2 linked regions of the Drosophila melanogaster genome follow. The protein of the gene in region 1 interacts with the protein of each later gene in a pairwise test. Each region holds a gene or a part of one and is shown on either strand. Other genes may lie near its edges.

The links.
Region 2: the proteins of CG9356 (region 1) and CG14232 interact in a two-hybrid assay, tested with the Drosophila melanogaster proteins (2 studies listed by BioGRID).

Annotation. Positions count from the first base shown.
Region 1 is NT_033777.3:9,402,670-9,419,024, forward strand, and holds the start of CG9356 (uncharacterized protein), read right to left. Parts: upstream 1,601-16,355; 5' UTR 1,569-1,600; intron 1,510-1,568; 5' UTR 1,371-1,509; coding exon 174-1,370; intron 105-173; coding exon 1-104. Other genes in the region: BBIP1 (BBSome interacting protein 1), read left to right, coding at 1,878-2,108; CG8135 (uncharacterized protein), read left to right, coding at 2,250-2,420, 3,067-4,392, 4,453-5,040; CG44261 (uncharacterized protein), read right to left, coding at 5,180-5,476; betaTub85D (beta-Tubulin at 85D), read right to left, coding at 5,984-6,931, 6,991-7,383; Task7 (TWIK-related acid-sensitive K[+] channel 7), read right to left, coding at 8,088-8,361, 8,417-8,817, 8,872-8,933, 9,000-9,155, 9,219-9,348; alpha-Man-IIa (alpha-Mannosidase class II a), read left to right, coding at 10,025-10,138, 10,192-10,721, 11,054-12,526, 12,761-13,823, 13,920-14,069.
Region 2 is NC_004354.4:19,700,752-19,717,106, forward strand, and holds CG14232 (uncharacterized protein), read right to left. Parts: upstream 3,509-16,355; 5' UTR 3,388-3,508; exon of another isoform or gene 3,312-3,387; 5' UTR 3,268-3,311; coding exon 3,138-3,267; intron 3,080-3,137; coding exon 2,652-3,079; intron 2,447-2,651; coding exon 1,982-2,446; intron 1,923-1,981; coding exon 1,503-1,922; 3' UTR 1,237-1,502; downstream 1-1,236. Other genes in the region: Tcs4 (Threonyl-carbamoyl synthesis 4), read right to left, coding at 1-737, 793-977; CG14230 (uncharacterized protein), read left to right, coding at 3,660-3,837, 3,899-4,188, 4,255-5,362, 5,425-5,591; meso18E, read right to left, coding at 6,122-6,713, 6,785-6,853, 7,401-8,398, 11,194-11,196.

The sequences.
Region 1 (16,355 bases):
TCGGATGCAGGTGATTGCACGTAGTGGGGTCGCTGGGCCTGGTCGAAAAGTGCTCGTATGGCTTCATCGGTGGCCATCAGGGGCTGACTAATGAATTCCAAGGCCTGGTGGGACGGTAATAAGGTGTACCATTAACTGGATGTTTGAATCACTTTAACTATCGCTGTACTTACCCTAACCGCGTACTTCTCCGCCTCACAAAGTGGACTTGTGCTGGCGCTGGACAACTTTAGTGTCTCCTCGGGAATGCCCACGCCAGTGTGCAGGACCATGCGTTGGAGAATGTTAAGGTTTTCGGCACTTAGGCTGATTACATCGGTGGCGGGCAGGTTGAGGAAACGAATCTTGGCCAGGAACTTCAGTTGCTTAAGCATATCTAGCTGAATTTCGCGGATCTGATGGGTGGCATGAAGCAGTTGCTTCGTTGACTCGTTCAATAGCTGATTCTTCTGCGTGAGATCGGCTTTCCAGCGGGCTAACTCCTCAACCATAACGCTGCTGGCGAGGAATTTGGACCGCCAGACCTCACACTGGCCGGCCAGGAACTCAATCTGCTCGGTGTGGGTGGTCAAATTGTTGGCAGTGTCCAATAGAGCTCTGGCCAGCTGTAGTTTGTCCTCGGTGAGGAGATTAACCCGTGTCTGCAGATCCTCGCCCACGGAGGCCACCAGCAGGCTCTTCAGCTCGCTATTCACCTGCGTTTGGAACTTATACTGGGCTTGAAAGTAATTGCGTTCATCGCGCATCTTGGCCAGCTCCTCTTTAAGTGAGTTTACCTCATGGCTACTGGCTGTGTCTGTTTCTTTAATATCCGTTGTCTCAGTCTCCAATTCCTGTGTGCGCAGCGTGGACACCTGATCCACCAGCACCGCAATGTCCAGGTTGTTCTTATCCCGATGGATTTTGTGTTTATTCGTTGGCTCAGAGATCATGGGATTCACGGCACCCGGATATGGTTCGTAGGGCACGAATTTGGGCGCCTTGGTCTTCTTATGTTCGGGCAGCGAGTCCGCGCTGGTGACCAGTCTTGGCCGCATCTGGACCAGCTCCCCCTTGGGCACAACGGGCGCCAAACTCCGGGTGACGTTCTCGGGTCGTCTGTACAGGGTATGCAAGCCAGGAAGGGGCAAATTTGAGGAGTGGCCGCTACTAGTTGATGTCTTCCTGCCCATGACGGCCTCCTGGACAACGGAGCTGTCTTTTCGCGATAATTGTGGCCTCTTTACCTTGTTGTCCACATCAGCACTCGCTGGGATTTCGCTCTCTGTTTTGGCCGCTCCACTGTTTTCCGGTTGCTCCATGCCATCGCCGCTGGTGCGACAAGCTTGGGATTTGTCCGTTCCTGGCATCGCACTTTCATTCGCTTCCATTTCTGGGCAATCTTGGCCAGGCCAAATAAAATTTTCCTAATTTAAGAATTTCTTTTGCTGTGCCAGCAAAACAAAAACATTGACCAAGGGCTGCCAACTCGCTGCAAAGAAGTTTTGTGTTTCTAGTGTTGGTCAAGACCTAAATGTTTGAAACTATCATGATTATAAAAAAGCATTGTTAATTAGAAATTTATTTGCCTTTAAAAATGCTCTCCTACCCAATAAAATGGGTATAAATAAATAAATTCCCAAGTGAACACCACAGTCCAGTGTGACCAGAGCATGTCAACATGAAAACGCACGTTACACTTCATTTAACAGTGCTGTTCGGCCCACCCACGCACACGTTCACACTTTTTGATAAAGTCGATTGATTTGATTGACCGAGAAAAAAAAACAAATAAACACAACGAAGGTGAACTGGTACCGGCGTAGTGAAGATACCACCAACGCCAGCTCCCAACACATCCCGGCCACGCCCCCCGACCGCCCGCGGAGCTCCAAAGGATGTCCTCAGTGGAGGCCGAGGTGCTGCAGAAAATCGATCTGATTGAGCCCACAACCGGAAAATTGTTTTTCGAGCACAAAACGGAGCTGCTTTTCTGCCGGCCACATCTGATGCCGCTAAAGACGCAGGCGCTGGAACGCCTGGAGGAAATGCATCGGGACACCGCTCGCCAATTGCAGAAGAAGCGCCAGCAGAAGAAGAAGTCCACGGAGCCCACAGGCTCGCTATGAACCAGTCCTTAATCGCAGAAATACATTTGTTATAAGCACATACACCCACACGCACGCACCACAAATACACAGAATCACAGCAAAGCACAAGAACTGAGTACACCCGTACCAGGATCGGGATCGGGATAAGCACTAGTCACAATGGCGTACCTACTAAGCTTTGGCATCGTGGCCGCCCTATTCCTGGCCAGCATCTCGCTGTACCGTTACGGAAACATACCACGTCAGCACATCCTGGTCACCCTGTCCGTGCTGACCGCCTGGTGTTTCTCCTTTCTAATTGTATTCACCATTCCGCTGGACGTGACATCGGTGAGTTGGAATGTGAAGCTATAAGACCATTTGGAATAGAATATAGCCGCAATAGGAAACAACAGAAAGCTTAAAATAACTTAATAAATAGTTGCATTAATATGATTTTGTAGATGTGCATATATAGTACTTTTAAACGTGCAAATGCTTCTGTCCTTTCTGCCATATGTTGTGGTTTTGTATATGTTTTGTATATGTTGCAGGTAAAATATATATTCCAACGATCATAAATATATACAAGACTAGAACGACTAGAAATTATAAATATTTAAAAACACGTTTCGTTCATAAAGAAGTAATCTTTAGATTTCCATTTCCATCAAAACACAGTTTGTCGCATTTTATTGCATGTGAAACGTTAGTAATTTTTAAACAAAACTTAAATTTCGAACGGAAATTAATTAACTTTTTATCTAAAGCTTCGCCGACACCATTCAAATTGTAAGCATACATTGATTTTGGTCTGGAATTTCTTATCTGCAAATGAATCACCCCTAAAGTTAGACAACAAAAAACCCGAATTGATTATAGAAACACAAATTAACCGCTTTCCGGCTTTGGATATACCCTATTGTCATTTGGTTATCAACTCCTTCGATTAGAGCTAATAACAATTAACAATCAAATTGTATAATTGCCATTTCAGACGCTTTACCGGCAGTGCGTGGAGGAGCACCGACCGACCCCAGCCCCAAATGTGACCAACACGTCGAGCGCCACGGTGGGTCCGCCGCCTCAGTGCCAGGAACCGTGGGGCATGGTGCCCGCCTCCGTGTTCCCAAACCTCTGGCGCATTATTTACTGGAGCTCACAGTTCCTCACCTGGTTGATTATGCCGCTGATGCAGTCGTACCTTAAGGCGGGCGACTTCACCGTCAAGGGAAAACTTAAATCGGCACTGATAGAGAATGCCATCTACTACGGTTCCTACCTGTTCATCTGTGGCGTACTACTCATCTATATTGCCGTCAAAGGAGAGTCTCTGGATTGGCAAAAGCTCAAGGCAATTGCCTCGTCCGCATCGAACACATGGGGATTGTTTCTGCTCATCCTGTTACTGGGATATGCTCTGGTGGAGGTACCTCGATCGTTGTGGAACAACGCCAAGCCGGGATTTGCACTGCAATATGCCTACTTCAAGGCAGCCAAATTGAGCACTGAGAAGGCCGAGGCTGAGGAGCATGTGGATGATATCCTTGAGTCGCTGCAAGGCCTTAGCCGCGTCATACCCAACAATCACGAGTTGCGCCCCTGCCTGGAGACCATTCTGCGCAAGGTTCCCATTGAGCTGCAAGAGCGAGCGAGTCGAAACTTTGCGCGCACTGGAGGCAGCGGCATGGGTGCCACGAGTTCCACTATCTTGCCTTCGGAAAAGGCGCTGGTTCGCATTCATAAGCAAGTAATCAAATCGCTGCAAACATTGCAGCGCACCGAAGCGCTATGGAGCGTGCAGGTGCAGACAGTGCTGCATCTGGAGGATGTGGCCAAGAATATACACTCTTCGGACCGGCGCTTCAAATCTGAGTTTCCGCGCCAGCGCACGCAGCTGGAGAGGATCTGCTACAGCGCCTCGCTGCAGTGGTACTGGGAGTGCCTGCTAAAGGCTCCGTTCCTCAAGACCATGTGCGTTCTGACCGCCACCATGTCGGCCATGGTGGTGTGGAGCGAGCTTACCTTCTTCAGTCGCCACCCTGTGCTTTCCATATTCGCCAACGTTATCTACGTGGCCAAGGAGAGCTACGACTTCTTTACTATTGAAGTCTTCTCTATGGTTGTTCTATGCTACTTCTTCTACTGCACTTACTCCACGATCTTGAGGATACGCTTCCTTAATCTCTACTACCTGGCACCGCATCACCAGACCAACGAGCACAGTCTGATCTTCAGCGGCATGCTGCTGTGCCGTCTGACACCACCCATGTGCCTCAACTTCCTGGGTCTCATCCATATGGACACACACATTATTCCCAACGTGAGTAGTAAACATGTTCGTAAACACTGAATTACTGAAAATTTATAAACTATTCCTCAGCGCATTATGGAGACGGTGTACACGCAGATCATGGGCCACATGGATGTTATTGGCATCATCTCGAACGGCTTCAATATCTACTTCCCAATGTGTATGCTGGCCTTCTGTCTGGCCACTTGGTTTAGCCTCGGCAGTCGGGCACTGAATGCTCTCGGCTTCCAGCAGTTCCTGCAAAACGAAACTATTGCTACCGAACTGGTGCAGGAGGGAAAGGATCTTATAGCGCGGGAAAAGCGCCGCCGCCAGCGTGCCGAGGAGGCGATGGCCAGACGCCGTGACTTCAACCGAACCGATCAGGTTCTGGGCAGCGATTACTTGAGCAAATACCGGAGTGGTGGACCCGGTGGACTAACCAGTAGTCGCACGCCCGCCGACGGGCTGCTGCGCGATGGCGACGGCAGCTTTGACTATGCGGCAGTGGCTTCTTCCTCTGCACTGGGCGTACCGCGATCCCTGTCGGAGGAGATCAACGACCGTTTCGGTGTGAGCACTCAGGTGCAGGTGGGATTCCGAGACCCCGACTACGAGGCGGAGACAGATGGTCGAATTGTCGGCCCACCACCCCGAGGACTCTTCGACGATGTCTAGACTTTGGATATGGATAACTCTTTATTTCAATTCGTTACCGAGTATCTCAATATTTCGCTCGCGCTTAAGTATTTCCCGATGCCACTGCTGCTGCTGCTGTTCCTTTACACCCATGTAGACCATTCAGTTGAATAAACCACTAAAGAGGATTCTTATCCATCTTTCGAAGGGAGTAGCGCGGTTCGTTGCTGCTCTCCTGGCTAGTGTCCAGACCACTATCCGTGCTGGTGTCCTGCGCCTCCACGTTCATCGAGATGTCCGTCTCCGATGAGTAGCTTGAGCTGATTGATTCTTCTAGATCAACATTTGTGCTATCCTGGTCGTCTTCCGACGTCGGTTTTCCACTCTGCAGTTGCGATATGGGATGCGGATTTATGCGCTTTCGGCCGCGCAGATAGCCACTGCGAGAGGTAACTGGAGTAGTCGGAAAATACATCTTGGTGCCTTGACTTCAATGACTTGAATGACTTGAATGATGACGGCCTGTCAGAAAGGAAAGCTGTCACTTTCGTAAGGCAACTCTAAAAAATGATTGCCAACAAAATATAGATTTTCGATATTGAGCGCTTAGCCTCAAATTCAATTCAATCCAGAATATTTATATATTAATGTTTAGGTTTATGCAATGCCTTTTGAACGGTATAAAAATATGCAAAATGCTGTTGGTAATCTTGTCTGCTTATAAATCAACATTTATTCGTAACCCAGAAATCACAGCAATTGCAACATGAGCTTAACAAAGGTGGACATATTTCTTCTGTACGTGTGTGAATGATAAATAATCGAACAGTGAAGAATCCATATAGGAAATATGTACAACCGACGGGCCTCGAAGCACAATATGCTAAGGCCCAAAGATCCAATGTGTTGTGCCTTCCTAATGGGTTCCCCTGCTAGCCTGTTTTGGTGTTCATGTGTGATCTTGAGTGGGAAGTTAATCCTATTATTCATCGCCGCCACCCTCTTCGTCTTCATCGAATTCGCCCTCCTCATCGGCAGTCGCCTCCTGGTACTGCTGATATTCAGAAACCAAGTCGTTCATGTTGCTCTCGGCCTCTGTGAATTCCATTTCGTCCATTCCCTCGCCGGTGTACCAATGCAAGAAGGCCTTCCTTCGGAACATGGCGGTGAACTGCTCCGAAACCCGTTTGAATAGCTCCTGAATGGCGGTGGAGTTGCCAATGAAGGTGGCCGACATCTTGAGACCTCTGGGCGGAATATCGCACACCGCTGTCTTGCAGTTATTCGGGATCCATTCCACGAAGAAGCTGCTGTTCTTGTTCTGAATGTTGAGCATCTGCTCGTCCACCTCCTTCATGGACATGCGGCCACGGAAGATGGCGGCGACGGTCAGATAGCGACCATGTCGCGGATCGCACGCAGCCATCATGTTCTTGGCATCGAACATCTGCTGGGTCAGCTCCGGAACGGTAAGGGCCCGGTATTGTTGCGATCCTCGCGAGGTGAGCGGTGCGAATCCGGGCATGAAGAAGTGCAGCCGGGGGAAGGGTACCATGTTCACGGCCAGCTTGCGAAGATCAGCGTTCAGCTGGCCAGGGAAGCGCAGGCAGGTCGTCACACCAGACATGGTGGCCGAAACCAGATGGTTCAGGTCACCGTAGGTGGGCGTGGTCAGCTTCAGTGTGCGGAAGCAGATGTCATACAACGCCTCGTTGTCGATGCAGTACGTCTCATCGGTGTTCTCCACCAGCTGATGCACACTCAGGGTGGCATTGTAGGGCTCCACCACCGTATCGGACACCTTGGGCGAGGGCACCACCGAGAAGGTGTTCATGATGCGGTCCGGGTACTCCTCGCGGATCTTCGAGATCAGCAGGGTTCCCATGCCGGAGCCAGTGCCGCCACCCAGCGAGTGGGTCAGCTGGAAGCCCTGTTGGAGAAAAGTAGGGTAAACTTTTTCAGATAAATTCCCAAACCCCCAAAACTTACCTGAAGGCAATCGCATCCCTCGGACTCCTTTCGCACCACATCCAAGACGGAATCCACCAGTTCAGCACCCTCGGTGTAATGACCCTTGGCCCAGTTGTTGCCTGCTCCCGATTGGCCAAACACAAAATTGTCCGGCCGGAAGATCTGGCCAAAGGCGCCAGAACGAACCGAATCCATGGTGCCGGGCTCCAGGTCCACGAGAATTGCGCGTGGCACATACTTGGCACCGGTGGCTTCATTGTAGTATACATTGATGCGCTCCAGCTGGAGATCACTATCGCCGTAGTACGTTCCGGTCGCATCTATACAGTGCTCATCCGAGATTACCTCCCAGAATTTACCACCGATCTGGTTACCGCATTGACCGGCCTGAATGTGTACAATTTCACGCATTTTGATAGTAAAGTTAGGGCCCCTTTTTCACACCGAAAAAATGGTACAAAAAAAAATCGAGCTTTTAAAACAGTCTGAGTGGGGCAAAAATCGGCAAAAGACTGAATATTTAAACGTATAATTTTTCAGGTTTAGATTTTAGTCGTGTACGTGCTAGCTGATACTGAGGTGAACTGAACCTGGCTTGGATTACTACACCGAATGTTCACAAATAGGCTACTACGATTTCCGACTTCGACACATTTCACACACCCCGATTTCAGAAAACTCAGTTCTCCGTTTTGAGCACAAACTTTAATAGTACTTACATAGATAAACGAATATACGGCTAAAATTCGAGATGGGATGGATTTGGCGGTGCCTTGGAAGCAATAGAGGATTCCAAGGCTACCGACCAGATGATACGATTGATATTGACATGGATGTCCTGGATTTTACTCCTTTGTAAATGTTTATATGGGTGTATAATGGGATGGGTCGATTATTTCTTAAGCAAAAACTGCCTTTTAAAGACTATTAACCTTGCTCTCCAAACTTATATGTATTATGACCCATCCTGGTTTAAAAATCTACGTAGGGAGGAAGGTTTGTCTAACAACCAAATTTTGGCGGCGGATGGTTCTCTACAGGATTGTAACTACGATTTGGTGATCCATTGGCTCTGGCTCCTACAATGAGGAGTCCCACAGCTGGCTGTACGGATATCAGACGGAGGCTCGCTTCAGGCACAAGGTGCTCTCGATAATGTCGGTAGGCTGAAAGTCCGGGTCCACGAACTGCTCATGATTCAGGCACCTGGTGCCACCCATGCAGGTGCAGGAACACAGGGAGGCGGTCTCATCGTTCTCCGTTGTGTAGTTGTTCTCCAGCAGCTTGCCGTGCATATTGTACGTGGACTCATCATCGAAGGTCACCGGCTGGGCATTTCCAGCCAAGTTCTGAGCATCCTGCTCATCTCTCTTGGCATCCTCTGCTTGCCTGTGATTAAAAATCCATTAAATAAGATATTTCCTGCAATAGAACATGGACTCACATGGTCATGAATCGGAGCACCAATAGATTGATACTGGCGGCCACCACGGCCAAGCCGAATAGGATGAAGACCAAGCTCAGCGCCACATAGCCAGGCTTATTAGTTAGAGCTTGGTCGTTCTGCAATGCCACATAATCGCCGAAACCAATTGTCGTCAAGGTGACAAAACAATAGTAGAAGCTATCGAAGTAGCTCCAACCCTCGTATCGGGAAAAGACTGCTGCTCCAGTGGTGATTATTATGGAGGAGAGCATTCCGGTGGCCAACATGAGATTCATTTCGGTGGCATCCGTACAGCGAGCTCCACTGGCTCTCTTTGCCCGCCTTATTATCACGGATGCAAACTTATTCAGACGTTCTCCGATAGACTGGAACATCACCAGACCCAGCGGGATGCCCACCTAATAAGGGAATATCTTTAGAAGACTGGAAATTGGGATTGTAAGTTCACTTACCATAGCATAGCCCATACAAAATGCTTTTCCCGGAATTGTAACTGGCGTAGAATGACCATATCCTAAAGAAAGTTACAACAGAATTATAATCTATTCAATAAATCATATTTAATAGATAATTAATTTACCTATCATTGCCAGTACAACCGTGCTGAAATAGAAAGCTCCAGCGAATTTCCACTGAGGTCCGGCCTTGTGGGGCTTATTTTCAATGATGACGATTTCCATCACACGGAAATCCTCGTCAGTCACATTGTACTTTCTAACAAAGTTGTTCTTAACGGCTACAATTGATTAAATAAATTCATTACTAAGAAATTAGGTTAATAAATCAACAAGCTTCTCACTCTGTAGGAATTCCCATCTTTTGGCCTCCGTTGGTGACTCCAGGGAATCGAACACGGCGGCTCCAATTAAAAGATAGGTGAAAGTGCATACCACCAGGGAAAGGGTACGGACATTCTGTCGCTTCATCATATAGTCTCAAATATAATCACTACGATCTATAATCAATTAATATATTTTGCACCACGCGCCTTTTTCGTTCAGTTAAAGATGCTGCGTCTGACAAAATCGATAGTTGTCAGCAAAACAAACACACAGCATCCGCCAAAAATGGTTGATTTCGGTTACAGTGGCCGAATAACATATGATACAATGAATTTTAAAAATTTCATCATTCTTTAAATATGTAATAAGTTTTCTTTTATCTATTGATTTGACCGTTAATCTCAATAAAGGATTGTGATTTTACCGTTAGTTTATCACAACAGAAGCAACAGAATTTGATGGCGTTGCCACTTGGCGGTATCTGTTAACTCTGTACAGCTAAAAAGCTGTAATGTCACGATAACTAAGGATAATAATAATTTTTTTAAAGGATCAATATACACAAACAACATAAGAGTTTTATTACATTTTCTTTAATTGCCTTTAAAGTTTTTGTCTTTCTAAGCCATTTTAACAATTTAACATTTTGCAGTTAGCAGCGCCGATAACTTGACAGCCTATCGATTTTCGGGAAAAGCAAACATATCGCCAGATCTGATTTGTTTATGCTAAAAAAAAACCACGCAAGTTCCAACCGATTGGATTGTTGCAGTTGGCTGCTGTGTCTCTGACGTCGACGTTTCCATGCTTAATTAACCGGAAAATGTTGCGAATACGTCGGCGGTTCGCTTTGGTAATTTGCTCCGGCTGCCTGCTGGTTTTCCTCAGCCTGTACATAATCCTCAATTTTGCGGCGCCGGCAGCCACCCAGATAAAGGTAAATAAATGCTTCTAAATCAATTCGAATGTATAATAACTTCTTTATTTTAGCAGCCCAACTATGAGAACATTGAGAACAAGCTGCATGAGCTGGAAAATGGTTTGCAGGAGCACGGGGAGGAGATGCGGAATCTCAGGGCGCGTCTTGCCGAAACATCCAATCGCGACGATCCAATAAGACCTCCACTTAAAGTGGCTCGTTCCCCGAGGCCAGGGCAATGCCAAGATGTGGTCCAAGACGTGCCCAATGTGGATGTACAGATGCTGGAGCTATACGATCGCATGTCCTTCAAGGACATAGATGGAGGCGTGTGGAAACAGGGCTGGAACATTAAGTACGATCCACTGAAGTACAACGCCCATCACAAACTAAAAGTCTTCGTTGTGCCGCACTCGCACAACGATCCTGGATGGATTCAGACGTTTGAGGAATACTACCAGCACGACACCAAGCACATCCTGTCCAATGCACTACGGCATCTGCACGACAATCCCGAGATGAAGTTCATCTGGGCGGAAATCTCCTACTTTGCTCGGTTCTATCACGATTTGGGAGAGAACAAAAAGCTGCAGATGAAGTCGTAAGCATGCTTTCCCTATATAGTATTGATACAATAATGAATAACGGTAGTTAACCCACAAAACAAAGTGCAATGCCATTTTGCTATTGCATTCCATAAACCTTACACAGTTGTTATGTGCAGCAGTGAAATATTTTACTTCGTTATTGCGTCAAAAGCGTTTAGATAAACAAAATGCATGATCACGCTGCTTGTTTTCCGAAACAGCTTTGTACTTATCTACCTAATATTTATAACCCAAAGCAGAAATAGGAATTGATAAGCTTTGCAGTCTCAACAACTACAATATTTAGTTTTTAACAAAAAATAATAAATTATTTACTTATTTACAGCATTGTAAAGAATGGACAGTTGGAATTTGTGACTGGAGGATGGGTAATGCCGGACGAGGCCAACTCCCACTGGCGAAACGTACTGCTGCAGCTGACCGAAGGGCAAACATGGTTGAAGCAATTCATGAATGTCACACCCACTGCTTCCTGGGCCATCGATCCCTTCGGACACAGTCCCACTATGCCGTACATTTTGCAGAAGAGTGGTTTCAAGAATATGCTTATCCAAAGGACGCACTATTCGGTTAAGAAGGAACTGGCCCAACAGCGACAGCTTGAGTTCCTGTGGCGCCAGATCTGGGACAACAAAGGGGACACAGCTCTCTTCACCCACATGATGCCCTTCTACTCGTACGACATTCCTCACACCTGTGGTCCAGATCCCAAGGTTTGCTGTCAGTTCGATTTCAAACGAATGGGCTCCTTCGGTTTGAGCTGTCCATGGAAGGTGCCGCCGCGTACAATCAGTGATCAAAATGTGGCAGCACGCTCAGATCTGCTGGTTGATCAGTGGAAGAAGAAGGCCGAGCTGTATCGCACGAACGTGCTGCTGATTCCGTTGGGTGACGACTTCCGCTTCAAGCAGAACACCGAGTGGGATGTGCAGCGCGTGAACTACGAAAGGCTGTTCGAACACATCAACAGCCAGGCCCACTTCAATGTCCAGGCGCAGTTCGGCACACTGCAGGAATACTTTGATGCAGTGCACCAGGCGGAAAGGGCGGGACAAGCCGAGTTTCCCACGCTAAGCGGTGACTTTTTCACATACGCCGATCGATCGGATAACTATTGGAGTGGCTACTACACATCCCGCCCGTATCATAAGCGCATGGACCGCGTCCTGATGCACTATGTACGTGCAGCAGAAATGCTTTCCGCCTGGCACTCCTGGGACGGTATGGCCCGCATCGAGGAACGTCTGGAGCAGGCCCGCAGGGAGCTGTCATTGTTCCAGCACCACGACGGTATAACTGGCACAGCAAAAACGCACGTAGTCGTCGACTACGAGCAACGCATGCAGGAAGCTTTAAAAGCCTGTCAAATGGTAATGCAACAGTCGGTCTACCGATTGCTGACAAAGCCCTCCATCTACAGTCCGGACTTCAGTTTCTCGTACTTTACGCTCGACGACTCCCGCTGGCCAGGATCTGGTGTGGAGGACAGTCGAACCACCATAATACTGGGCGAGGATATACTGCCCTCCAAGCATGTGGTGATGCACAACACCCTGCCCCACTGGCGGGAGCAGCTGGTGGACTTTTATGTATCCAGTCCGTTTGTAAGCGTTACCGACTTGGCAAACAATCCGGTGGAGGCTCAGGTGTCCCCGGTGTGGAGCTGGCACCACGACACACTCACAAAGACTATCCACCCACAAGGCTCCACCACCAAGTACCGCATCATCTTCAAGGCTCGGGTGCCGCCCATGGGCTTGGCCACCTACGTTTTAACCATCTCCGATTCCAAGCCAGAGTGAGTAGCCAGTTAAAGATTACCCATTTATCAAAGGAACAAGAATCCTTTCCGTACTTTCTGTATTAATTGTACATTTTCGTAACACGTTTCGCTATGCCGTTTCCTTAAACCATTATAGAGTGCAGGTTTTATTTATTGATATTAATATTTCATTAACCAGATGCCGTAATTGTCTTCTATTTATACTATTTATTTATACTTTTTCAATAAGCATTTCAATGTTACTTACAGGCACACCTCGTATGCATCGAATCTCTTGCTCCGTAAAAACCCGACTTCGTTACCATTGGGCCAATATCCGGAGGATGTGAAGTTTGGCGATCCTCGAGAGATCTCATTGCGGGTTGGTAACGGACCCACCTTGGCCTTTTCGGAGCAGGGTCTCCTTAAGTCCATTCAGCTTACTCAGGATAGCCCACATGTACCGGTGCACTTCAAGTTCCTCAAGTATGGCGTTCGATCGCATGGCGATAGATCCGGTGCCTATCTGTTCCTGCCCAATGGACCAGCTTCGCCAGTCGAGCTTGGCCAGCCAGTGGTCCTGGTGACTAAGGGCAAACTGGAGTCGTCCGTGAGCGTGGGACTTCCGAGCGTGGTGCACCAGACGATAATGCGCGGTGGTGCACCTGAGATTCGCAATCTGGTGGATATAGGCTCACTGGACAACACGGAGATCGTGATGCGCTTGGAGACGCATATCGACAGCGGCGATATCTTCTACACGGATCTCAATGGATTGCAATTTATCAAGAGGCGGCGTTTGGACAAATTACCTTTGCAGGCCAACTATTATCCCATACCTTCTGGTATGTTCATTGAGGATGCCAATACGCGACTCACTCTCCTCACGGGTCAACCGCTGGGTGGATCTTCTCTGGCCTCGGGCGAGCTAGAGATTATGCAAGATCGTCGCCTGGCCAGCGATGATGAACGCGGCCTGGGACAGGGTGTTTTGGACAACAAGCCGGTGCTGCATATTTATCGGCTGGTGCTGGAGAAGGTTAACAACTGTGTCCGACCGTCAGAGCTTCATCCTGCCGGCTATTTGACAAGTGCCGCTCACAAAGCATCGCAGTCACTGCTGGATCCACTGGACAAGTTTATATTCGCTGAAAATGAGTGGATCGGGGCACAGGGGCAATTTGGTGGCGATCATCCTTCGGCTCGTGAGGATCTCGATGTGTCGGTGATGAGACGCTTAACCAAGAGCTCGGCCAAAACCCAGCGAGTAGGCTACGTTCTGCACCGCACCAATCTGATGCAATGCGGCACTCCAGAGGAGCATACACAGAAGGTGAGCTTAGAAGTTTATTATATTAATATCAAAGAAAGTGGAAATGGTATTTATTTATAATTAACAATATTGTTTGACTAATTGTTCGTTCGTCAGCTGGATGTGTGCCACCTACTGCCGAATGTGGCGAGATGCGAGCGCACGACGCTGACTTTCCTGCAGAATTTGGAGCACTTGGATGGCATGGTGGCGCCGGAAGTGTGCCCCATGGAAACCGCCGCTTATGTGAGCAGTCACTCAAGCTGATCGCAACGTGTTATGGCAAAGGATAAAGCAGAAACTGAAGCCAAGCGACCATCTCACAACCTATGAATCTCGGACGCTAATCCACTGCAATACAGGCAATCTTCGTTTAATGTTCGACTTAAGCACTGACTGCACCGAAAGACGTAATGCGTAATCCATACTACGTATCATTTATTTATTCAAGCTTCCACACGAGGGTTTGGAAATTCAATCCTATGACGCAGCGGTGTATTTTTCGCACCCCCGTGTAACTACACGTTTTACTCTGTTTCCCCTAGTTTTTTACGTTTTTTTGTGATATCCATCCAGTCCCACAGCAAGCAATACATGTCTGTACTCGATATCCCCAATGGGGTTATTGCCTATAACAATGAATCGTAACTATAACTAACGTTTAACTGTAAAGTAGGCTTAGTGATAATGACGCAACTGCAATGATATTAATCTCGACGTTTGTTTTTTACAAATTGAATAAAATTGAGTCTCATTTAGAATCGACTTTTACGTGCTATTCTAAACTAAAAACATAACGACTGTTTTTATTCGAAAAAGGAAAGGATTTGTATTACTATTCAAAATCGTCATTTAGGCTTTAGTTAGAATCGTGTTGTTGGTAAGTTATGAATGCACTTTCTATGAATATTTAATTTTTCTCAGTAAACTAAAATAAATACATTTTAATTTAATTTTTAACATTACATTTAATTTTTTTTTTAATATTGTAAGTAATGAATGTTAGTAAACAGTTGATCTTTGCATTATTAAGTTTTGAATTTATGTGGATTATGAAACGAGCTTTTGAGACGACTAATTAAAGCCATAATCATGAGTTATAGTTTTAGTGGATGAAAAACAGAATGCAATCTTATCAGCTCCAGTGCGGGGTACTATTATTGCCAGAATGACCTACAGAGATAGAGATACTAAGAGCGCGGAATTGGAAAATGCACAATGGAAATGGAAATCCGGATTGAGTGTAAAGTGGTTGTTTTGGATAGAGAGCGAATCGCTGCGCAGTTCGCTCTCTTCAAAATCCGAAACGAGCAACGAAAGCAAAACCGAATCCGAATCGGAATCCGAATTCGTATTTGTATCTGTAAGATACGCTCTCGCGCTCTCTTCAACGACGACCATCGGAATTTTTCTATACAGAAACAAAAATCTCAGTCAGCTCGCTGTTTTCAAGTTTGGAATCCGCATTTCAGTTCAGTTGGATTCAGTCACAGAGTCAGAGCGTCAGATTCAGATCATCGTGGTCGCCAGTGAGTTTGTTTATATGTTTGTGGCTGCCTGTGTGTTTGCTTGTCAAGTTCTGCAACAAAAACAAGGCATCTAAACAAAAGTGGTTCAAAACAATTACGAGGAATAAAATCCAACTAAAACGAATAATAAAACACACAGTGTCGCTTAAATCGCAGAGTATCTGCAGCTCTAGTTCTTGTTGTTGTTGTTTTTTGAGGCGGACTGGAATTTAATTTAATTAAATCAAGTACGAATGTGTGCGTGAGTGTGTGTGTGTGTGTGTCTAAGCTGGGTTCTTGAGTTGTTCTTGTTCTAAGTTCTTTTTTTCGTGGCGTGTATCTGTGTGCGCGTGTCGTGTGCTGGTTTGCGTGTGCTTTTTGTGAACTACGTTTTGTTTCAATGCCAAAAAAAAGTATCTATGCCCTGGCATGTGCTCTCTCTCCATCTCTCTCTCGCTCGCTCATGCTGGTTACATAAATACTGGTAGAAGAAGTGGAAGAGATGGTGGTGAAGAAGGAGGAGGCGGAGGTAACAGAAATTGAAATACAAATTCAATTAACACCTGAAAACGAAAATCCAACTGGAACGCAAACGTCTGATTGGATAAGGAAAATAGAAAACGGGCAAACATGTGTTTGAATTTCCAACTCGTCTTCTTCTTCCCGTCCCTATGAAATGTTCAAAAGCAAAGCTCCTTGAAAGAGGAGGGTATAAAAGAATGTGGAAAAGAGCAGCAGAACCAGAACGAGAACACCAAAAAAAGAAAACGAAATTAACGACGTCACATAAAAGTGTGTCAAAGCAGCAGCTCACGCACACCAGCGTGCGCCAATTTGTATCTGTGTGAAGCTTTAGCTCTCTCCCTCTCTCGCACCGTCCCTCTCATTCGCTGATAAAACGCAACGCACACAGCGCGTATACATAATTTATATATTTATTTAAATGTTTTTCGTTTGCTCGCTTCGAACAACGAGTTTTTCTCGTTCTAAGACTGTCGCCTTTTATTTCTCGCTCCATCTTCCGATTTGAGCTCTTTTCAACATA
Region 2 (16,355 bases), on another chromosome or scaffold:
CGAAGAGCTGCCTGTGCGGCAGGAGGCAGTACTCAATTGCCCGCTGCGTGCGGTGCATCAGGTGCCGGCTGACAGAGCGCAGCAGGCCGGCGCAGAAGTCGCCGTAGTTGCTGATGACTCCGTCCGGAGGTGTCCGCTCTGCCCGCTCGCGCGCTCGGATGGCCCGGAAGGAGTTGTTCTTGATGCCGGCGAAGCTGAAGTTGCAGTTCCGCTGCTGGGCAAGTGGCAGCGGAAACTCGTAGGCCAGCGGATCGCTGGCCAGCTGGGCGGCATGCTCAATGGCCCGTCCTCCGTTCCACAAGCGGTACTCCGGCAGAATGTGCAGGCGTAGTCGCCGACCGATCTTGTCAAAGGCCTCGCCGGGCGCATCATCCAGTGTTTGGCCAAGAAGCGTAAGGCGACCGGGGCCGTTAGCCACCACCAACTGACAGTGGCCGCCGCTGGCCAGCAAGCAGAGGAAGGGGTAGCCGATCTGCTCCGGATGTTCCATGCGGGCCTGCAGCGCGTGCGCCTCCATGTGGTGAACGGGCAGCAGGGGCTTCTGCAGGCGACGGGCCAGGTGCCGTGCAAAGCGCACGCCCACCAGCAAACTCAGCGGCAGTCCGGGACGCGTGGTCACCGCGATGGCCGTCAGTTGGTCCGGCTTCAATTGCGCCGCCTCCATGCAGCGCTGGTAGGCGGACTCGATGCGGGCGCGGTGAAGGTCCTGGGCCCTGGGCGGAATAATGCCTCCATAGCTGCAATCGATTCAGTTCATCATTGGGCACCGCATGCGGAGATGTGAGCACTCACCGGGTGTGGAACTCCTGTTGCGACTCCAGCACATTGGCAATCACTCGGCCCGTGGTGTCCACGATGGCGATGCCCGTGTCGTCGCAGGAGGTCTCGATGCCCAGGACATAGCTGAGCCGGCGCCTGATCCCACAGCCAAATACATTTGCTATTCCATTGCCGGCAAAATTACGAAGTGCATGCATAATGGCCAGTGTGACCAGGCACCGATAGAAACCACAACCAGCAAATCGTGGGACCGTTAGTGTTAGGGCCCCTTACACGAGCCAAATTCTTAACTATACTTTAATGCAATTTTTATTTAATATAAAATAATAATAATAGTTGTTTCAATGCCCAAAATTGGTAATAGCAATTGTGTCGTATGAAGAAGTTTCCTAAGTGAATTTTACGAATAATTTATTCTTCATTAAGAAGCAAAGAGATTTCGAAAAGTGATTATTTACAGTTGTCTTTATATTGTTTATTAGTTTCAAATTGAATTTTGGACTTGTCTTCGTCGGTTACAACTAAATAATAAATAATATTGGTTTAGTCTGAAATCGGCATGGTCTTTTCCCGCCGCTTGTTTCCCGGAATTGCAGCAACGCACACGTAAAACCAAAACCTCACGCACACGCACATACAGATTATTCCGGACTTGCACATTAGCCGTTCGTACGGAGATAGGATTCATCTAAGTTAGTGGTAAGTAAATACATTTTGGCCTCTTAACGCTCGTAGTAGACGCGGTAGTACAGCGTCTTATTGCGCCAGATGCTGTAGCTGTTGTCGAACTTCAGCAAATAGACGCCCTCGCCCGGATAGGAGTGGGAGCCCACGTAGACCTCGTTGTAGCACTCCCGTCGATAGATCGGTACGATAATGGAAATGGGTGCCTTGGGGGCAGCAGTCGGGTTGTTAACTGCGCCGCGCTCCTGCGACAGCGAGCCGGACTCCAGGTCCTCGGTGGTGGATAGGTAGTCCTCGTCCACGCAATCCTCGTCCTCGTCGGAGTCGCTCACATGCACGGTCACCTCGTTGGTCACGGGCTTGGCCCACTCGAAGTAGATGCCGAAGCCGATGTCGTAGCTGTCCGTGGCGAACTCCCAGAAGATGCACTTGCCGTTCATGTTGGTGGGCACACGGACCTGCAAAATTGTGCCGGTCAATATGGGCCTTGTTTCGTCATTAGTTGATTGCCACCTACCGTCACCGTGTCGCCGTGTCCAATGGTGATGACGCCGTCCCCATCGCCGGCGGACACCTCAGTCTTAAACTGCTCGATGTCGGGACGAGTCCAGATCTTGGCCGGGCAGATCATAACGTAGTCGTCGTACTCTTCCTCGCCGTGCTGTTCCTGCCCAACGCCCTCCAACGTCTGCTCTACATGCCCGTCTTGCTGCTCGGCCAGCTGCTGGTGCTGCTGTGTCTCGACCTCACCGAGCTTCAGTCCCTCCATGGCGTTGGGCAAGTCGGTTGAGCTGTTGTTGTTATTGCCAGGGACGTGTTCTGCTTCCTGGTGTCCCTTGTCCTCCGTGTTCTGATTCTGATTCTGGTTCTGGTTCTGCAGATGAAGCTGTTGCATGTACTGGTGATAGTGCTCCCGCTGCAGCTGGTGGATAAGCACGGCCTGCTGTTCGGGGTTTCCGGGGAACTGCTTCTCAGCGTACAGCTGTGGAACGAGTGTAAGCGTTAGAAGGGCCAAGTTAATGGTACAGGAGCTGGCATGCAATTGCCTGAGAACTGGGTCATGACCCCTTTTCAATGGCAGACAGCGCAGCCAAGGCCGAGCACCCAGTAATTATCATGCATTATTTAGCACAACAACAGGTGCAGAGGGCCGGGCCGGTGTGTTGTTGAAAAAATCGATGGGCTACCTTAAACTGCTGGTAAGTCTGCTTGTTGAGTGCGTCCTGCAGCTGGCGGCGCTGCAGCTCCTCCTTGTAACCCTCCTCGAGCAGCTCCTGCTGGGCGTTCTCCTGCCGCTCGCGTGCCTCCTTCTTCTCCTCCATGAGGCGCAGCTCCTTGCGCAGCGTCTCGTCGCGGTCCTGCCGCACGGCCTCAATGTACGGCCGAAAGGCGCTGCACATTGTGTCCAGCAGGTCGACGAACCCCTCCATCGCCTGCTCGCGCGTTATCTCACCGAGCAGCTGCCAGTGCTGCTGCCGGTCGCGTCCGATCACGTCCAGGACGCCCAGCGCCGGGGCGCGACTCGTGTTGAAGGGGCCCAGCGCCGCCTGCTGCTTGAAGGCGATCAGCTTGAGGTTGTCCTCGTACGACAAGTGGATGGCCTTGCCGGAGTTCCCTGCAATATGTGAGATTAGCCGTTATTGGTGCGCTAGTGCCGGGATCTCTGCTCTTACGCTTGTAGAACGTGAATGCCAGGCGGTAGAGCTCAATCAAAGGGAAGCCCCACTTCTCGGCCGATGATGGTGCCATGTCCGTCGACTGGGCCGTTTCACTGCTGCTTGTGCCGCTTGTCCCGCTCGCCATGCTGCCGTTGTTTGTGGGCTAGTCCACGATTGCTGGCCTGCAAACTTTTCGCACAAAACAAAACAAAATAATAGAATTTATTGTGACGTCTGCTGCCAGTGTGACCAGCCAGCTGCGCACCTAAAGTAATTGTATTGCTCGCCTTGCAACACTGACCGATGGGGATTATTTTTGTCTAACTTAATGTATTTGCCTATTTACAAAGTTGCTAAATAAATTTGAAAGCTGGTTTAGTGTTGCTTGGACTTGTTAAAAACCTGTATAAAGCAATTGGGAATTGGAATTGTGGCTATATTTAAGTGTAAGTTTTTATCTGCCCGCGGTCACACTGGCCCACAGCAATTCTTGCCGGGATTTGGATTCTACACGTGCATTGCAAGCGTAAACATAATATGGGCAGCACTCGGTTCTTCCTGGCGGATCTGCCGACCAGGACCTCGGAGTCGGACCTGCAGATCCTGTTCCAGGACTACGGTCACGTAGAGCACGTGGATCTGAAGCGCAAGGAGCAGGATGGGGCCACTAAGGTGATTGCCTTCGTCACCGTGCAGACGGATGATGCCCAGTACTGTAAGTTATCCGCGGAAGATCACAGCCAGACGGAAGGAGTAACCATAGCTTGGTTTTGTAGGCGTCAACGAGCTCAAATGGCAGAAGTTGCACGGCGAAAAGCTAAGAGTTTCTCTTGCCAAAGAATCGTTTTTGGATCGACTGAAGCGCGAACGCGAAGAGAACCAGCGCCGGGAACAGGGCGAGCCAGACGAGTCCGAGGTGCGTGCGCCGAGCTCTCAGCTCCTGGTGCAAAGTGGCCAAAACAAGCGCAGGGTATTCGGAGAGGATGAGGAGATTGGTGATGATGAGGTCGCTCCAGAGCTGCTGATTACCAAGAAGCGCGCCGCCAATTCCATGCACAATGGCCGGGTATGCACGCACTCATTGTTCCCAAGCTCATTGTCAGCTAAATTCCTTTCCTTTCCTTTCCCACAGATTGTCATCCAGCAGGAGCACGACGTGAAGCCACTCCATGTCATCGAACAGCACCGCAAGGCAGCCAAACAGAAGCCGGACGCCAATGTCAGCCAGGCGGAACAGAAGCGCAAGGAGTCGCTCAACAAGATGCGTCAGGGACACCAACAAAAGAAGTCAGCCATCCAGCAGGCGCTATCTGTGATATCAGTCGAAGGCAGTCAGGCAAAGAGAATAAAATTCAGCGACGCCGAGGAGGAGGAGGCGTCCAAGCCCGTCCAGAAAGCCAAGATACAAAAGCGGGATCTGTTCGAGAACGACGACGATGAGGAAGAGGAGCAGATCGTCCTGCCGCAGCATAAGGGCAAGAAGGGCGAGCGTCTGGTGGAGATGCAGAGCAAACAGAGTATAGATCCCCGCTTCCGCATCACATCGAACTTTGTGAACGAGGAGGAAGAGGCGGAGCTGGAGGATCAGCCTGAGCCGGAGGAGAGTGAGCGCAAATGGCACATGAACATTCTGGAGCAGGTTGTGGGACACGCGATCACCAGTGCGAACGATAAGGACGGTAAGTCGCCAAAGAACAAAAAGATGCTGCGCTTCGATCCGGCCAAGGAGGGCCATCAGAAGCTAATGCGCCAAAAGCAGCCCAAGGAGGAGGAGGAGAAGAAGGAGGAGACTTCCAGTACGAAAGCCAAGACCGCCGACGCGGGCAACAGTCAAGCTTCAGCCGTCTCGAAGACGGCCTTTTACATTGTCACCGACACGTTGAGGGATTCGCTGAACACGCGTGGAGAGGGTTTCAGCCTGCTGGACATGTTCGGCAGTGCACCGGAGAAGGAGGTGGCCAAGCGCCAGGACCAGTTGGAGAAGCTGGGCCATGAGAAGATCCTGGTGGGCAAGACGTCTGCCAATAAGCTCGGACTGGCCACTCTCAATCCGTTCTCCTACGACTCGTCCGACAGCGAAGACGAAACCGAAGTAAAGCCGAAGCAAGAGCAGGAGCAGGAGCAGGAGCTTGAGGTCAGCAAGGAGAACAAGGCCCAGCCAGCGAAGAAGTCGGGTCAAAAGAGGAACAAAAACAAATTGGAGTCCTTCTTCATACCCAGAAACGATCCTCGTCTCAAGGGTAAGAACGTGAATCTGTGCGTATTTTTTCATTCTCAACAAGCGATCGTCTTTTCTTTGCAGAGGGCGCCAAGTTTTTCAAGTCCACGAAGGCGGTGGTTGACCATGCCGAATATGACCAAGTGAAGAACCGCCTGAAATTGCTGATCACCAAAAAGATCGCCAAGGCGAAGAAGAGCCTGCCCAGCAAGGATATCAAGCTGCAGCGGAATAAAAAGGGAAAAAACTGATCTAGGTTAAATTATACCCTTAGTCTTAAGCATAATCCTGTGTAAAATAAACCAATATTGTTCTTTTTTTTTTTTGTAAATGGTACATGTATTCATCTAGATTACAAAAAAAAAAAATGAAATGTTTGTGCTTTAGTTACTGCACAAATGCATTTGAGCCCCGTTGCAGCTCCAACTAGATTATCGTAGCGGTGTGAATCCGGCTCTGTTGAGATTCATTCGGCATCCGCTGGTGGGATTCCGCCTAACTAAAAGCTAATTAAGTGAATTAAGATTATCGCTTCAACAAAAATTGCGGCGCTTAATATTCAACATTGCAATTAAGTTTCATTCGTCCGCTAAGCACTTGTGTAGGCTCTCTAAGTAAAAATGGCAATCTCAACTGAAATTCGAGACATGGCTCTTCTTTGGCACTGTATCCTCTGCCGCCATCCGGTGAGAGGAGTGGCGGTAGGGAAGGGTTATATATATATATATGTATGTAGGTAGAAGTCTTAAGTAGATCTAGCGAGTAGTGGATGCATTATATTCTACGTCTGCCTGCCATCCGTCCGTTCATCGCCGCCAGCCTTTGGTGTCAGCTTGGCCAGCTTGTCCTTCACCTGAACATCGTCACCGCTATCGCCGTCGTCTGGCACCTCAATGGCGGCATCCTGATTCGCGACGGGAATGGTGCCGCTCCTGCCTGTCGCAATGCCGTTGCGTTCCGGACTGGTGGGCTGCTCCTGCGTAGCTGGCGGCGCTGCAAACTGAGCCTCTGGTGGTGGCGGAGACAACGGTCTGGCTGTCGCTGGCGCGTTCTCTTTGGTTGGATTAACTGGAAACGTAAGTGCCCGCTTTACGGCCAGCGTTTCAATGGCCACAACCGTGCGCTCCAGCAGGTTCATCAGCCGGTCCTCGCGCGCATCCATCCGCTTGAGGAGCTCCTCGTCCCGCTTCTCGCGCCGCTTCAGATACTCGATCAGCTCGTAATTGGTGCTGTCGCCGTCGGTCGAGGTGGACATCTTGCGCTTCTTCTTCAGCGTTGTCGATGAGGAGCAGTCGGACAGGATGTCCGTGTCGACGATCACATCGGGGTGCAGTATATTCGCATCCATGCCCGGCGAATAGTAGTTCTGCGCTCTGTGCAAGCATGGATTTGATCAATGGAATCGGTTTCGAAGAAGGTGGCTTCCGTCGCCGCCGGCACTCACCCATTGTAGTTCGTCTGCATCAGCTGGATGTCGTCCGGATTGAACTCGCCCTCCGAAAGTGGCTCCGACCTGTGGGCGGCAGAGAAGCGAGAGTCTTAGGCGGGATCTCGAGAACGGGGCAACCCGATAATCGATCTGGACTTTCCCCATTAACAATTAAATGGACACCATTACTTTTGAACTGATAATTGTTGAGTAAAAAGGATTTATTTCTTAACTTTGTTTGTTTGATGAAGTGAAGTCAGTCTATCAGTGAAGTGAAGTATCTTTTAGGTTTGTAGTTTGCAGTATATGTAAGTAATCCCTAGAGGATCGGAATCGGCATCGAAATTTAGATTTTACACTTAAAGTAACATCTTTAAATTGAATGGAAGAAACATAAAGTAATCTATATTCTCAATTTCACTACGATTTTCAATCTTGCAACGAACTTTTTTGTCTTTTGATTGCGAAACTGTTGGTGGGCGTAAGACTGGGCGTGGCAACGTTCTGAGATTTAGTTACGGAAATATCGACGGACAGACAAGAGCCTATAAACAATTATATTTTGGAGATTGAAAACCCTTCCTCTGTCTATTACATAGTTTACCAGAAATCTATTACAACTTTTACTCACTTCATTGATATGTGGTTCTCGTTGTGATTGTTGTTCTGGTGGTGCATGTTGAGTGCTCCATTGCAGTCCTTTTCGAAGTCGGGTGCTTCGCCAGAGTCGTCCATTGGCGCGTGGCCCAAGCCGAGGCCGTGGCCATGACCCAGGACGTGAAGGTGGTTTTTAAATGCTGGCCGCTGGGGCTCATCCTCGTCGTCGTCTTCGGGCGTCATTTGAACGCCGCCAACGCTGGCCATCTGGAGCTCATGTCGCTTATGGGCGGCCACGGCGGCAGCGGCAGCAGCTGCCTGAACCATCTGCATCTGGAGGGGATTCTCGTCGAAGCCGCCGGCGGACATGCCGGATACACCGGATGCGGAGCCACCGACCGGGCCGGCCACCTCGCTGAGCTGCGCCTCCACAAAGTGATTGGGCAGGAAGCGGTCCAGCTTGCTCCCGCTCTGCGAGGAGTCCGTGGAGTGGGCGTGCGAGTGGCTCTGGCTCTGGCTCTGGCTGAGGCTCTGCAGTAGGCTGTGCTGGTGCGGGGTGAGGTTGTCCTTGTTGAGCAGCACTCCCAGCTCGGCCGCCTGCCGTCGGCGCTGGTAGTAGGATAGCTCGTTGTGGTTTTTGGTTATGAGCGCCAGACGCTTGCCATTCGATCCCCAGCACTCGCCGCGCTGCTCCTCGATCTCCTTGAAGAGGAACATGTACGGCCAGTTGCGGCGCACATGGCGCTCGGGATTCTTTTTCAGCTGCGTGTAGATCTTCTTGAGGTTCTCGTACCGATTGCAGCACTGCTTGGCCGTTCGCTTCCGCGCACTGAAGCGGTTGAGCACCTCGGCGACCATCTCCCACACGCTGGCATGGTTCTTTCGGTTCGACTGGAACGCGCTCTGGATGCGCTCCGACTTGACGATGTTCAGCAGGGCCACCGACTCCGGCACGTTGAAGTACGATTCCGGCGTCCGCGGCGCCCGCTGGTGGTGATAGCTGCTCGTCACCGGCGGGGGATTCTTCGTATCCTGCAAGGATATCCAACAGGATAATTTAAGGAAAATAAGAAACAATTGCTACTAACAATAAGATACAAAAAAAAATATATAGATATGATGATAATAGTGATGTGTTAAATTCATTATTATTATTTAGTTTTAATAGTTAATAAATCGTACAGGCGTTTACAACGTTGAAAAGCTCATAAAAACCAAGTTGTTTCGTTAAGATTTTTATATAGTATGTATGTATGTACATACATAAGGCATCTTAAATATGATTCATATGGTAGGTAAATTATAATCCAATCCAATGTACAAAATAAATGATTAAATAATTAGAAATAACTATGGACCGATGTATCGTATATATCATAAATATATATATATTAATTTTGATATCAATAATCATAAATATTTTTTAATAAATTTATTACGGTTAATGGTCAAAACATATGCAGATACTTATATGTATTTACATAAATCTTTTATAAATAGCTACATCTGTGCAGTTAAAGTTTGTCACAATTATTTCAATGTACACACATACATATATTTCATTTCAATTGTATATTTCAAACGCATGGTATGTAAATATACCATATAATATATGAACTACAAACATTGTCTACTAGATCCAAGAAAATCAGTAAGATTATGTTTATCTATATCTCTAGCTCAAAACATCGATAATATCTCCTGAGTTTTCCAAGAGATACATAGATGGACATGCCATTATGATCTTGACCAGAAGTTTTTGTGCATCATCGTGCTGATGGCCAAAGCTCATTCATGCCGTCTAGATTCTACGAAATCTTTCCTCCCGCGGCAGAGATGAGCTGCCGATGATGACTAAGCGCGGCGAAATTTGTTTCGCAGATATTCACGGATTGTCCACTACCGCAGATAGCGATCCGTGCGGAGGCTGTGGCGTTCGGATCGGATCTGCTGCACTTCCGTATCTGGGAGAATCTATGTACATGCATGTACATACTATATGTACATACAGTTTGTCAAGAAACTGTTTACACACTGTAAGATAAGTTGAATTTTTGACTTTAAAGCTAAAAATAAAGGGTTTTTTGCTTAATTAAACGCAATTTTTTTATAAAATATAATTAAACAATATTTATTTTACTTATAAATCAAAAAACAAATTAAAAATATTAAATATACAAGAAAATAAACAACAAATTCCAAGTTTACACACTTTTGGGACTGTCAAGAAACTCTTTACACAAAACACTAAATCAAAGTTTAATCCTAAATTTTAAAATTATTTTATTAAAATTTTAAAAGTTTTGGTATGTAGTATGTGCCCTATTGGCTTTAGCTACAAGTTGAAGCCTTTTTTTCATGGATTGGACAAGTTTTTGCAGGTCATATTCAAACGGGATCTTTTCACACTCTTCGACTATTACAGTCATAAGCTGTTGTTGTGTTTTAGGTCCCTTTTTGCCACCTTCTTCTTTAAGTAGGTCCACAAATTTTCAATGGGGTTCAGATCAGGACTCTGAGGGGGCGTATCGATCACTTTACCACAGTTACAAAGGCGCCAGGTGCGTACATTCCACTCTTTGTTTCTGATCATGTCCTGGTAAAACTTAAGATTTGGCTTGTTGTTGCTAACTAGACCGAATTTTTCTGCACTGGCCTTCAAATTTGTTTTTTAAGATTCCTAGATATTGCACGGCATTTATTGTGCTCTCAATTAAGGCTAGTTTTCCCACTCCACTGCTGATGATACAGCCCCAAACCATCAGTGACATTTTTCCAAATATTATCGTTGGAATGATATTTTGTTTTTCTAGCGCACTCAACGGTTTGCGCCATACTCTTCTTGGCCCATCGTTATAAAAGAGCATCATTTTTGTTTCGTCACAAAATATGACGTCATCCCAGTACTCTTCCGCATGATCCATCATGCTCACAGCGAATGAATGACGCTTTTCAATATTGATCTCTGATAGCAAAGGCTTTTTTCTTGCAACTCTTGAAGAGTACCTATGGCGTAGGATGACTTGGCGCACAGTTTCGTGTGACACAGTTAGGTGACATTCTTGCCTGATTTCCAGAGCAAGTGATCTGACCGAGATTCGGGGGTTCGCAATCACTATTCGCATAATAAAGCGGTCTACACGTTTTTTAATTTTAATTTTCCGCCCACCACCACTCTTAAGTTCAAGCCTGTCCTCTTTTTCCGAGCCTTTAAAAACATTGTAGACGGTCTTACGGGATACAGGAAACATTTATACTAATTCTGGAAAAGATTTTCCCAACTGGTGGTTATAGTTTATTAATTGGGTAACTTTAAAAGTTAATCTCTTTCCAGGCATTTTATTAAATTTAATAATTCGCTTTAAGCACGTTTGATCAGCAAAATTTCACAAGCAAAGTCAACAAATTTCAATAGAAGCGTTGTAAAAAGCAATGCAAAGCCAAAAATAACGGAAAAATCGAGTTCGTTCTAAGAAAAAGAACAAAACAAAGTAGGAAAACAAAATGTGTAAAGAGTTTCTTGACAGTCCCAAAAGTGTGTAAACTTGGAATTTGTTGTTTATTTTCTTGTATATTTAATATTTTTAATTTGTTTTTTGATTTATAAGTAAAATAAATATTGTTTAATTATATTTTATAAAAAAATTCCGTTTAATTAAGCAAAAAACCCTTTATTTTTAGCTTTAAAGTCAAAAATTCAACTTATCTTACAGTGTGTAAACAGTTTCTTGACAAACTGTATGTATGTATATGCATGTATCTTCTCGCCCCCACTGCTTGGATATGCAGCGCTATTTGCCTGGAAGCTAATCTCTCACATTGCTTACCATTTGGGAATTCTGTGGTGTCAGCAGCTTCTGGATGGCCCGATTCTGCTGAGCAGGCGCAATGCTGGACGGTGATATTGTCTAATTTCTGCTGCTGCTATCCTCTTCTCCGATCCGCTGCAGATTCTTTCGAGTGTTTCAATTGTGGACTCTCCGGCTCTGCTCGTTGTTGTTGTTGTTGTTATTGCTTATGTTTTTGTGTTTGTTTTTGCGGATGCTGCGTTGGCCTGGCGGCGTTTGCATTTCAAATGTAACTAGTGTGAACGCAATGTAACCTTTGTGACACTTAACGTCTAGAGCGTGGCGATTGTGCGTGTGTGTGCCTAAAAAAATAATAAAAATCGAATCACAACAAAAACAACATTTGTTAGACCACAAAATAACGAAACGGAAACAAGAGCCGAAACAAAATCGAAATCGAATTCGAAATCAACGAACGTACTTGTTCTTTGTTGTATTTTGTTTTACGTTACTCGAATTTTGTTGTTGACAACAAACCGACAACGACTATTAATATTTAGAAGTTAACCTTTTAGCCTTAGACGGCGGCTCATCGGCTACGGCAACGTCGACAGAAAACGCGAAAAAAAAACAAACTAAAAAAAAAAGAATCACAAAAAAAAAGTGAAAACACAAATCACGAAATCAGATGCACATGTGCCTTTCTGCGTTCTCACTCACGAATATCCGTGCGAACATTTACAGTTGGCGGGCACTTTGACAGTTATGCAGAGCTGCCACTATTCTTTCCGCCAAAGCTCTTTTATTTGCTACTGTTGCAGTTGTTGTTATTGTTTGCGCGTCCCTGCTCACTTGTTGTTGTTCTTTTTTCTGTCATTCATCCTTGTTACGCGCTCTCACTCACACCGCCACTCTCTGGGCTCTCTCCATCACTCACGCACGAGAAGCTTTCGCTGACCTGCATTTGCACTGAGCGAAAAGTAGAGTGGAGAAGAAAGGTGGAAAGAAAACGCGAGCGCAATTCTCTTCCTCCGGACAACGCTGCACGCGATTTACCGTTCTCCGTAGTCCGCCGTCCTGAGATTCCAACTAACCAACTAAAACTAACCAAACCAAACAACAACGAAACTGAAACTGAACTTTTTGCTTGCGATCCCGTTGCCGATACTAACGGCAGTCGCGCACACACCCATGCGCGCACGCACACAGACGGGTGAGCTCCCACATAGACACACACATACATATGGACCGCTACGATCGTTAGGCGGACGATCGCTCCTCGGGCACGGAACACCACGGAACACTGCTCTAACCTGGTAGATTGCGGCGGAGAGGCGATGGCGATGCCTTCTGGGGTGCACATGTGTTCTGCACACACACACGGACTTCGGGTATATAAATATATATGTATACACGAACGTGTACATACAAGTGTGTCTACTTATAGATTCGGGCAGAGACAGAGACTACGTCGAAAGAGGAGAGGGAGGAGGAGGAGGAGGCAGTGGTGGTGGCGGTGGCGGTCGCAGCGGCAGAGGAGCAAGGCGGAGACAGCAGATCCATCCGATCAGAGCAAGCATGATTCCAACGATGCCCACGATCCGAAGAGGGAAGCAGTTACTCCGATTCCGATTCCGATTCCTACTCTACAGATCACGCACACTACCGTGTGCCTGTGTTCGGGTTTGGATTTGGATTCGGTTCTATTCGATTCGACTCGGCTCGACTCGACCCGACTCGATACGATTCGGATGCGGATGGAATGGTAGGAGATGGTATGGTATGGCATAGGACGGAGGTGAACCTATGTGGATCTATGAAGGGCCAAATGGGAAAAGTCGTAGCCTAAAAATAGATACGAGTATGTTGTGCAGTATGGCGGGCATGGGCACCCCAAGTGGAAGTGGATGTGGATGTGGTATGGATGCAAACGTTTGGCGTTGCTTCTGTTTGCCGTCTCTTTGCAACAGCATCTTGAGCACTGGCCAAAACGCAACAGGATACTAAATGCCGCAGTATTCCAACCTATTCTTCGTTATCATCTACTATAAATTAGAATGTGGAATCTATGTTTGAAAATAGAACATACAATCTGTCTGCAATTCTTCAATTTATATATCATTATTAATTTATTCCATCGTCACTATTAAAGGCTTATCAATTAGGCATTCGTATTAACAAAGTAATATCCAAGGACTGTAAGCAAGTTATTTGGTTACATATAAGCTTTGATTTTATACACACAATAAATAGATCTTGTATTTTATAGTTTTGCAATAGTTGGAAACCAACAGGCGGGTATAATGTCGCGACTTGCAGATACCCGTTACTCGTTAGTTAATTTTTCTCTCTTTTAAAGAAAAGAGCGACATCTGCTGGTAAATTTCATTACATATCTAAAGTTGTCTGACATAACTTGCATATAAGGTCATTTATCTACTTAACTCATCTTTAAAACATTATTTGAATCATTTATTTAAAAAGTTAGTAAGTGTTAATATATTGCTTTGTATAGTTCCTATAGTTCTGTGTACTTTGTGCAAATGGACGGCCATTTTTGTATACTTTTCAGCGAATCAAGTCGAACATAATTCTAGATTAGTTGGCAGAGCTTTGTTTTCTGTACACTTCCTTTTAGTGGTGTTCATAATATCTATTAAATAATTAAGAATATAATTAAAATAGTTGTTAATAAAAAAAAAAAACAAAGTTCGATTAGTCGCACTAGAATGAAAAAGTGATGTTCGTCTACTGTTCGCCGTTCTAATCAAAAATAAGTCCTATTGTTAAAGATGGTTGCTTGGCGCTCTGGTTTTCGAGATCGAAACCGAGTCGACTCTACGGACCAACTGCTACGGACAACAGCTACAGTGATAAGTCATTGGGTCGGAGATAACCCCGCTCCCGCCAAACGCTGTATTTTGTTATTTCGAGCTGAGATTATCGAAGCTACGCCGCTGAGCAACTTGCTTTCGTGCTTGTGCTCCGGTACTTCTGCGCCCGAAAACCATTTTGGGATCTTTCCCGCCTCTAGCTGCTGCTCCAGATTGGCCAGTGTCGTTAGCTTCATATGGTAGATACAGGCTGTACTCTACCAGCAGCAGGAGCTGTGGCAGTAGACTCTCGATACGGAGCACAAAGAAGAGATTTCAACGGAAAGCGTTCGTCGTCGTTCGTCTGCCAGGTCGATTCGAATCGAGTCGAGTCGAGTCAAGTGGGAAAGAGAGTGGGCATCGAGAGATCGTAAAGCGAACCACATAGTTCGGATGCAGATACAGCCACAGATACGTACACTTATTTTGGATTACAAATAGAATACGATCGTTGCCAGAGCATGCGTTGCTACGACTGTATCTGTATCTGTATCCGAGTATCTGTGTTCTGTGTGTGTTCGCCGCCGTGTGGTATATGTGTACTAAAATTAAAAATAACGGTGGGGACGTGTTTAAAATCTGTACGGCCCCAGCAACGCCGCCCAGCCCCATTCAATCCGATTTCTTTTCCAATTTCCAACGAGAGTGAGGCGCTATCCATGTCCACATGCCACGGAAAGAAGCGTTCGTCGTCGATCGTCGATCGTCGATCGTTGATCAATCGATCGATCGATCGACCGTACTGGATCGTATCGTATCGACACGTGATTCAGGCAAATAGTAATCAATGAAAATCGACAAGCGAACAGAGGTCTCAAAGGTGGGCGAGCAAAGCCCAAATCCAAATCCAAATAACGACGACCGAACGCTATTCGAATTTGTCGACAGACACTCGTCCGATCGACATTAGTGCATATATCTGCATGTGCTTAGCAGCACTCAATGCATATCAAAATATTTGCTCTTCGACTGGATAAAATCGGTCGGGGCTTTGCGCAAGCCAAGATCGAAGATATCTGATTCGGCTGCTTGTATCTTTCAATCTTTCAGATCGGTTGATGACCAGCAGCAGGTCATGCGAACATACATACATATGTACATACACGAAAAAGGGGCTCGGCGTTTATTAAATATGCATTTACTAGTCTTCGCCCATTAAATTGACAAGTAGACAAGAAATATATTACTCTATTCTTATTCTATTCTTACATTATAATTTTATTGTCAGAGTTATGTTGTATGTGTATTCCTTTGTTTTTATGTTAAGTCTGTTGCAATATTGCAGTGATATTGAATGCAATCTCTCATTACCTGCCCATTTTGAAACATCATCGTATGACTAGCTCCCGTTTTCACTCAAATTGGCTGAGTTCAACAACCCATCCCGATTCAAAGACCACGAAAGGAGCGCATGAGGAGCTCCCCTTACTTCTTATGGCCGGATCGGTGGTAGTTGTAGTAGTAGACTGCTTCTGGTCGCTGGCCTACGGTTCTTAATACGCCGCTTTTAAAAATAGCAACTATAAATCTTATGTACTCTCGTCGCTGGCCGTCATTGGCGAAAAACGCCAACGTTCGTTGTTAAACGCTCCCCGCTGATCTCGATATATTGGGATCTTGGTGCCGCCGGTGCTGTGGCAGCGTGTAAAGTAAAGGCATCGCATCCCCGAGCCCATGTAAATCGGCCACATGCACTCACTCAGCCGAACATCTGTCAGTCCATGGCACACACTTAACAAAATCGACCTGCCACGTCCTCAATCGAACAGGATGTGAATAAACCATTTTACTCTAGGTACTCGAATGATTTCGTATGTACCATAGCTTATTGATCCCCCAGATCAGTTCTATTTGGGAAAAATTAGTTGAAAGAAAATATATGCATATATGTTAGTAGCATTGGATATTTGTTGATTCTGAATGAAGCAAATCAAACCAAGAGATATTGATCCTTATATATCAGAACAAATCCCAACGCAGTGAACTTATGTATTTGTGTATTTAGAAAACATAACTATAAAATATTTGGCATTTTAGGTAATTTATAGTTTTGATAGATTTGATATTCGTTATGTGTCGTTTTGAATAAATGATATGATATTCCTTTTCAACGTTTTGAATCTTTTGACTTTGTTCCAAGTGTACACACATGTTCCCACATATGTAGTATTGTACATACATACATATATGTATGTATGTTTGCTGCAGGGCTGAAACTATCGAAACTAATGTTACTTAAGTTGCCATTGGGATTGGGGGAGGAAAATCTCTTAAAGTCCACGCCAAAGATCACCGGACCCACAAAAAAGAAACCGATTCGAATTCAGA